Linked DNA regions of Kluyveromyces lactis. The protein of the gene in region 2 purifies or fractionates together with the protein of the main gene of each other region. This does not show direct contact. Links are inferred from orthologs where the notes say so. Each region holds a gene or a part of one and is shown on either strand. Other genes may lie near its edges.

The links. The genes of interacting proteins can lie anywhere in the genome.
Region 1: the proteins of POB3 (region 2) and VIP1 purify together in Saccharomyces cerevisiae (affinity purification with mass spectrometry; 3 studies listed by BioGRID). This does not show direct contact. The link is inferred for Kluyveromyces lactis from reciprocal best matches to the Saccharomyces cerevisiae genes POB3 and VIP1.

Annotation. Positions count from the first base shown.
Region 1 is NC_006038.1:251,043-255,454, reverse strand, and holds the start of VIP1 (inositol polyphosphate kinase VIP1), read left to right. Parts: upstream 1-1,550; coding exon 1,551-4,412. Other genes in the region: rRNA-processing protein UTP21, read right to left, coding at 1-1,008. UniProt on the Saccharomyces cerevisiae protein: Bifunctional inositol kinase that acts in concert with the IP6K kinases to synthesize the diphosphate group-containing inositol pyrophosphates diphosphoinositol pentakisphosphate, PP-InsP5, and bis-diphosphoinositol tetrakisphosphate, (PP)2-InsP4.
Region 2 is NC_006038.1:444,723-448,450, reverse strand, and holds POB3 (FACT complex subunit POB3), read right to left. Parts: upstream 2,320-3,728; coding exon 652-2,319; downstream 1-651. Other genes in the region: DAK1 (dihydroxyacetone kinase), read right to left, coding at 2,762-3,728. UniProt on the Saccharomyces cerevisiae protein: Component of the FACT complex, a general chromatin factor that acts to reorganize nucleosomes. The FACT complex is involved in multiple processes that require DNA as a template such as mRNA elongation, DNA replication and DNA repair.

The DNA.
Region 1 (4,412 bases), about 190 kb from region 2:
TTCAGAGTCACCTTGCGATAAGGATGGATCGAAAACAAACTCTTTTAACTGGTTGTCACCACCACAAGTGACAACGATCGGCTGACCGTTCAAGAATGATGCTCTTGCAACACCACCATTCACTTCCTTGTGAATGCCTTTTAACACTTGAACACGTGAGCGATGATCTAAGTCATAAAAGATCAAATCACCACTGGTTGATGCTACTGAGATATGAGAAGCACCATCCGTTCTGAAAGAGATTGAAGAAATTCTCGTCGGCGTTTTAATGGTTCTGATTTTCTTACCCTTACGCAAATTGAATAAAATAACTTCACCAGATGATGTACCAAAGGCAACGATGTCTAAAGCAGGTGCAGGTTCAGCAGTGGTGATCTCATCGGGGAACTCATCGGAAGTGTACAATTGTTTTCCGGTCCGAACGTTAAACAAGGTGAAATTAGACTTAGTCACAACGAGCAACTTGTTAACATATGTTGGTAAATGCACCAAATCAACAATATCACCACCTTGTAACTTACCAATGGTGAAATTGGTGTATAATTCAGTAGCGAATTTATCAGATGGGGAATTTTTCTTATAGATATAAACAACATTATTATCTGTAGAAGCAATCAAATATTCACCGAAAACGTTAATTTTGGTCACCACGGTATTTGGATCAGGTAATTCAATCAAATGTTCTAGCTTACCTCTCTTATAGATCCCAACTTTATTCTTAAAACTTGCATAAACGTAATGAAAATGCGCTGCCAAACAAGTAATGTCTCCCTCTGTCTCCTTATCTGAAACGAATAGCAGATGCAAATTATTGGCATCAAAGATCTGAAACGACTTACCAACAGAAGTCACAATGTAGAAGGTCGTACCTAGGGTACCAATCGCATAAGGAACTCCAGTAGATACATTACCTACAATTCTATACGGAGAAAATATTCTGGAAGCATGTTTCCTAACAGCGCCGGAAGAACCAACTCTTCGTTTCTTTAACGATCCATCCACTGTCATGATTGCTAATGCACTGTTCTGTGACTTTATGCAATCGCTTAATTAACTGAACAACAAGCGAATCCAGTAATTAGCTGCTGACGATAGGTATCTATCTCATCTCATCTCATCTCATCGCTTCTTTAAAACGTCGAGCTTCGAAATTTTCATCGCTGAAACAGAAAAAGAAATCAGAATATCACGTGACACATAAGGGGGATCAACCTGCAAATGTGATTCTTAGACTTGGATAGAGAAGATACTATGTAACTTCACCATTAGATGCCATTAGATAGTAACCATACCACAGTCTGAAATCTCACTAGCGAAACACATGGAGGTGTTGCTTAGATACTGGTCTTTACTTCAGAATTACTCACAGTTTTCTATCAAGTTTTCACTATTATCCTTCACATATAAATTTATATACAAAATTAAACACATGGGGAATAATCGTACCATGCATCCGCTTATAACAGAAATCGATTAATTGCAACGATCTACAAAATAATTTTAACTGAAGTTTCAGCATTGGTTATAATCAAATTGCAGAACTGCCAGTCATGTCTTCTCCAGGTTCAATTTCTGATGAGGGTCAAGAGGCAATCAACGGAAATACCATGCCTCCACTGTTTTTAGATTCGAATACGAAAAAGGCTATGGAATCGATCGCTCCTATCCTTGAAGGGTTCACGCCGAAGACCTCTTCTAGTGAGAATAAGTCGTTGAAGTTGCCACCTGCTGGTTTTACCTCTGATGATGATGATGAGACAAATAAGCTCGTCAGAACGCTTAGTATTTCTTCTACTGGTTCGACAGGTCGTCATATGACTCCCAGTGTCCTAGGCACCTCATTCGATAGCATGAATGGTAACAAGCTTCAAAGACTGAAAAGTAACCAAAGTGGATCAGCATCAGTTTCTGCTATTCTGGAAGGATCGCCTAGTCCATCTCCTATGCTGGAAGAACCTCATGCATTCCCCTTCATTCCGCAAGCATTAGTCTCTAATGAAGCTGTCACAACCAACACTGACGGATCAACAACTCCAAGTTCGACAAATTCTTCGAGGAAAGCTTCAACTTCCTCGTCCAAGCCTCAGCTACCAAAGATTGGTAAAATTGGTGTTTGTGCCATGGATGCGAAAGTGTTATCCAAGCCATGCAGACATATCTTAAACAGACTAATTGAACACGGTGAGTTTGAGACTATAATTTTTGGCGATAAAGTTATATTGGATGAAAGCATTGAAAACTGGCCTACTTGCGACTTTCTAATATCATTCTTTTCCAATGGGTTCCCTCTAGAAAAGGCTATCAAATATGTCAAGTTAAGAAAACCATATATCATTAATGATTTGATTATGCAAAAAGTATTGTGGGATAGAAGGTTGTGTCTCAGGTTGCTGGCGGCAAGCAACGTACCTACCCCTCCTAGATTGGAAATTACAAGAGATGGTGGTCCCAAAATTGATGATGAACTGAAATCTATGCTTGCCGAACGTGGAGTTATTGTTTCAACTGTTCAAGAACCCAACTGGAGAATGGTGGACGATGACACCTTGGAAGTTGAGGGTAAGGTGATGACCAAACCATTCGTTGAAAAACCTGTGGATGGTGAAGATCACAATATATACATCTATTATCATTCGAAAAACGGAGGCGGTGGGCGTAGATTATTCAGAAAGGTCGGTAATAAATCTTCCGAATTTGACCCTACTTTGATTCAACCTCGTACTGAAGGTTCATACATCTACGAAAAATTCATGGATACCGATAATTTCGAAGATGTGAAAGCATACACTGTAGGTGAAACTTTTTGTCATGCTGAAACCAGAAAATCCCCTGTAGTCGATGGTATTGTGCGCAGAAACACTCACGGAAAGGAAATTAGATATATTACTGAACTTTCTCCAGAAGAAAAAGAAATGGCTCGTCAAGTGTCGAAGACGTTCGCTCAAATGATCTGTGGTTTCGATTTATTACGTGTTGAGGGCAAGAGTTATGTCATTGATGTTAATGGGTTTTCATTTGTCAAAGATAACACAGAATACTATGATGCCTGTGCCAAAATTTTGAGAGATACCTTCTACAACGCCAAAAAATTGATGGACCTAGAAAAGCGGAACCTTCCTGCAATTCAAGAGGAGAAAACTCAAAAATGGGTATTTAAGGGGCTAGTTACTGTTATCCGTCATGCAGACCGTACACCAAAACAGAAACTCAAGCACTCGTTTACCTCTCCGATATTTTTGTCTTTATTGAAAGGTCACAAAGAAGAAGTAGTCATAAGAAATATCAATGACTTGCAAATTGTTCTGCAAGCACTCAAAATTGCACAAGAGGAAAATGCTGAAGATCCAGCGAAACTTGCTGTCTTAGCAAACGCTTTGGAAAAAAAAATCAGTTTTCCTGGAACTAAGATTCAATTAAAACCAGTTCTGAACAAAGACAACGAAGTGGAGAAGGTTCAATTCATTCTCAAATGGGGTGGTGAGCCAACACACTCCGCTCATTTCCAAGCTGAAGAATTAGGTGAGCAGATGAGACAAGACTTTGATTTGTTAAACAAGAACATCTTGCACAACATCAAGATATTTTCTTCTTCCGAAAGGAGGGTTCTAGTTTCGGCCCAAATATGGGCCACAGCTCTATTCGGTGCGGATGAAATTAGTAGCGACGAGATCAGTATAAGAAAAGACTTGCTAGATGACTCCAATGCAGCTAAAGACCTTATGGATAAGGTGAAAAAGAAACTAAAACCATTATTAAGAATGGGGAAGGAGGCACCACCTCAATTTGCTTGGCCTGCTAAGATGCCTGAACCTTACTTAGTCATAAAGAGAGTTGTTGATTTAATGAACTACCATAAAAAAATCATGGATCACAACTTTGCTACAAAAAACGTTGAAGAAATGCAAACATGCTGGTGCTGTGCAGAAGATTCAATGCTATTCAAGGAGCGTTGGGATAAGCTGTTCAAAGAGTTTGTTACTGTGGATAAGGTAGATCCATCCAAGATTAGTGAATTATATGATACTATGAAGTACGATGCTCTTCACAACAGACAGTTTTTAGAGCACATCTTCATGCCTGATGATGATACTGAAGTTGAAAACGAAGAGGTCTGTCATCATTCTTTGGTTGACAGGTACCCCATCAATATTTTAGCTAGAAACAACTTCAAAATCCCAGACTCTTCTAATGCCCAAATGACTAACCAATCTTCCTCTAATTCAAAAAGTTCGAATAGTGTCGGATCTCTTGGATGGGTTCTTGAAAGTGTTGAAAGCGGATCCAAATCACCCCGTTCTTCGAATTCCACATTCGATGATCCGAAGTTCATTCAATTAAGGGAATTGTTCAAGCTTTCTAAGGTTCTCTTCGATTTTATTTGTCCCCAGGAGTACGGTATTGAGGATAATGAG
Region 2 (3,728 bases):
TGTGACAACTATCAGGAATAATTTAAACCAATGGAATTTTGTCTTCAACACACGTTTTACCAAACTCGCTTGCCATGTATTTATCTATATTTGTCATGTCATCCTGAGTCATTCATGCTGAGTTCAAAGTCAATTCCGACCCTTCATTGTCGTTTAGCTATGAATCTTTTCTTATAGTGAAAAAGAAACTATTCCCGGACAATTCGTCAACTCCAGGAATCTCTATGATATATTCTATAGTTAAGGTACCGTCTGTAGCTATCATACTAATATCTAATATACCTCGAATGTATGAAGCGAGTTATCTTGGATCAAAATTTCTTTGTGCATTCATTTCATCATTCTAGTTCTTGATTTAAGGATCTTTCACCAGAAGTCATAGAATAACTCTTACAGAACCATTAAATGATTGAAGCATGAAAAAAGCAGTCGATACTTTTACGGGCTTAGCAAAATTATCCTTCTCTCAACCCTTTGAAGTTTAGTTCTCTGGATGGGACCCTTATTCTTTTGTCAAGCCATTTAGATGTACTAAAAATTAAAGAACTAGTCAATCAAACAAAAGAAAGACACATTATTCGACAAATACCGCGAGGAGTGTATATAGTTTTTTATTTATTTATTTGTACTAATACATGATATATGAGTTTTTCATTCCAACTTGGCTTTCTTGGAAGGTCTTTCAGACTTTGAGGTTTCACCTTCTGAATCGGAGGCGGATGCTTCTGAATCAAATTCTTCAGCGACATCGTCATCTTCGTCGGACGCATGGAAATCTTCATCTACAGATTCTTCATCCTCACCTGCAGAACCCATGTTAATATCTACATCATCATCATCGCTGTCTGAGCCGAAGGCAGTCTGCAGTCTCTGTTCTGCTTCCTTATCTTCGTTCTTTACCCTCAAGTTTTTGGACCTCAAGAATGTCTCTAGAAGTTGTTGTTCCTCTTTAGAAATATTAGCAAAAGTAGTAGTACCTCTATTGGCACGCATAACAACTTCCAAATCGAATGTTCTGGCTGATGTAGATGTCTGACCAGCTCTTGAAATATTGACCGCAGCAATATCTTGGAAGGGTATATATAGGGTTGGTTTCGTCAAGAACAAAAACGCATTGTCCAATGGGTATAAGTGGCCTTCATTGACTTTGTATGAACAGGATACCGCGCATTGGTCATACTTAGACTTGTATTCACCAGGAACAATGACTCTTCTTCCTGTCAAACCCTTTAAGACATGACTTAGTACAATGTGAGTTTTAGCATCGTATTGTTTCTTTAGTTTATCCTTGTAAAGCTTTTCGAACTCATCATCTTCCACATTTAGTTGGACTTCTGTTTCCTCGTCCTTCTGGAATTGTAACACCAAGAATGGGTAGGATGTCTGACCTTGACGGATTGGTGGATCAATCGATAAAACCATCAAGTAATGGATGTCGTCAGCTTTTGGCAAAGAGAAGATTCTGTTTATTTGACGATGTTGTAACTTGTACTCATAAGTCTTACCTCTAAGTCTGATAGAGTTTTTGTAGATATCAATGTCGTAACGGCCTCTTGGCGTAGTGAAGAACAGATCCTGGAAAGAAATGATGGCATCACCAGAAATTTCACCGATATCTGCCTTAGATCTCAATTCTTCGTAGAAATATTCTGCTAAAGTCTTCTCTTCTTGAACGTCTGGTTCTTCACTACCCTCTTCCGTCTTAACCTCCGACTTAACACCGTCTTCTGCTTCTGCTTCGTCCTTTACCATGATTTGATCTTGATCTTCATTTTCTTCAACTGTGCCTGGAACATATAACCTCATTTCAACAAGTTCATCACCTGCAGGATTATATGCCTCATTTTGGGTGTCAAATTCTAATGCAATCTCATTTTTTGCTGTTAAATTAGTGTTATTGATGTGCGTGTAAGGGATTTCAAAAGTTGGCTTACCGTTCAATGAAAAAACCATTTCGTTTCTAGCTAAGTCCAATTTACCCCAATTCCAACCACGTAAAGAATGTTCCCTGTGCTCTAATTGCATGTTGAATCTACGTTGGAAGTCATTCTTCAATAGGTTGAAATCCTCTTGTTGGAACCCATCCATTTGAATCAATCCCTTATTCTTAGTACTAATTTTCAATTCGTAGCCTCTACATCCTCTACTCCATTGAACGGAAGAAACCTCATCTGCAGCCAATAGCAAAGGTTCATTATTTTGAGTAGAGGCTGACCCACCTGTAGCGGATGCCTTCCAACCAAGACCTCCTTCAGCTAGACGGAAACGTCCACCGAGCTTGGATTGGTTGTAATAAATTCTATCGAAATCTGTACTCATTCTCCACTATCCCAATATAAGAAATAAAAAGTAGGTATCCAAGACGAAGATCACTAGATTTCAGTAATACTGACCTGTCTAACGTAAACTATGGGCTAACAACTCTGCCTACCGTTAACGGTTTCATATGTCTTCTTATTTGTTCATGTTTTAACAACATCTTAAACACTTTGGCGATTTTTCATTTTCATTTCTAGTAAAGTTTCCAATTCGCGTCACGTTGACAAGAGGTAAGATGGGGGAGTGAACGGAAAAGAGACAGTTTTTACACACGAAGAACTATCAGGTCGAGGCCCACCCCCCTGTTGCCGGAGGAACAATGTATGATACTGCAATTACCGCTAGGTCATAAATTTGGTTAATGTAGGAAGCTGTATATAGTTTGTTATAAAATAATAACTAGGTGGAAAGAATAAAGGAGGCAGCTCATTTGAAAATGAATCTACAATTTGGAATCAACACCCCTGAGGAATTCGACCAAACCGATAGCTCCTGGGTCCGGAATTGCTTCAGTGTCTTCCACGTAAGATGCACGGCCGAACTTGGCTTCTAAGTTTCCTGTAGATTCTGCACCTCCTTCCGCCTTGGAAAAGGCCTTATGGAAGTCCTGAGTTGAACTAAACTCTTTCACGAATGGCTCCAAGGCATCGATCATAGTAGAATCACCTGGCCTAGCTCTAGTATATTTACACAATGTCTCGTATGCAACTTCTAGCGATTTGGCGAAGGCTTCTTTGTCCACCGCATCATTTTCTCCGCATTGTTCAATAATTCCTTTTGAAAGGCCCGAAATGAATATAGAGTACAAACCACCGGATGTACCACCCATTGCGGATTCAATATGATCAGAAATTTCTGCAAGGGTCTGAGACAAATACTTGGAGGATATTTTATCCAAGTTTTCAGTGATTGCCTTAGCGCCAGCTACTAACGTATAACCACAGTCACCGTCACCAACTTGGTTATCCAAATGTGTAATATGAGGTTCACTTTTAATCAATTGATCGGCACCTGCCTTCAACAGCTCCGATAATTTCTCGAAGTCGTATGTTCCAGCCTTTTTAACGTCAATAACATCCTCGAGAATACCCTCGTCATATGTAGGAGATTTACCCATTTCGACATCTTTTATTGGCCATGCTGGCGCCTCTGTATGGTCGTTTAATAAGTCAAGCACAGATTTTACTTCGCTGAACTCCTTCTTGATAGCTCCAGATGACTTTGACGCATTGAACAACGTGATACTGAATCCATTTCCATTGAAAGATGTCATTAAAGTTCCGCAAATACTTTGAACTGGAGTAATGTCATAATTCTTTTGTAAAAAAGATTTCGTGATATCAACGATGGCAGTTAAGATGAAGTTAGACACACCACCTAAATTGTTGACAAGGAGAACTACCTCGTCT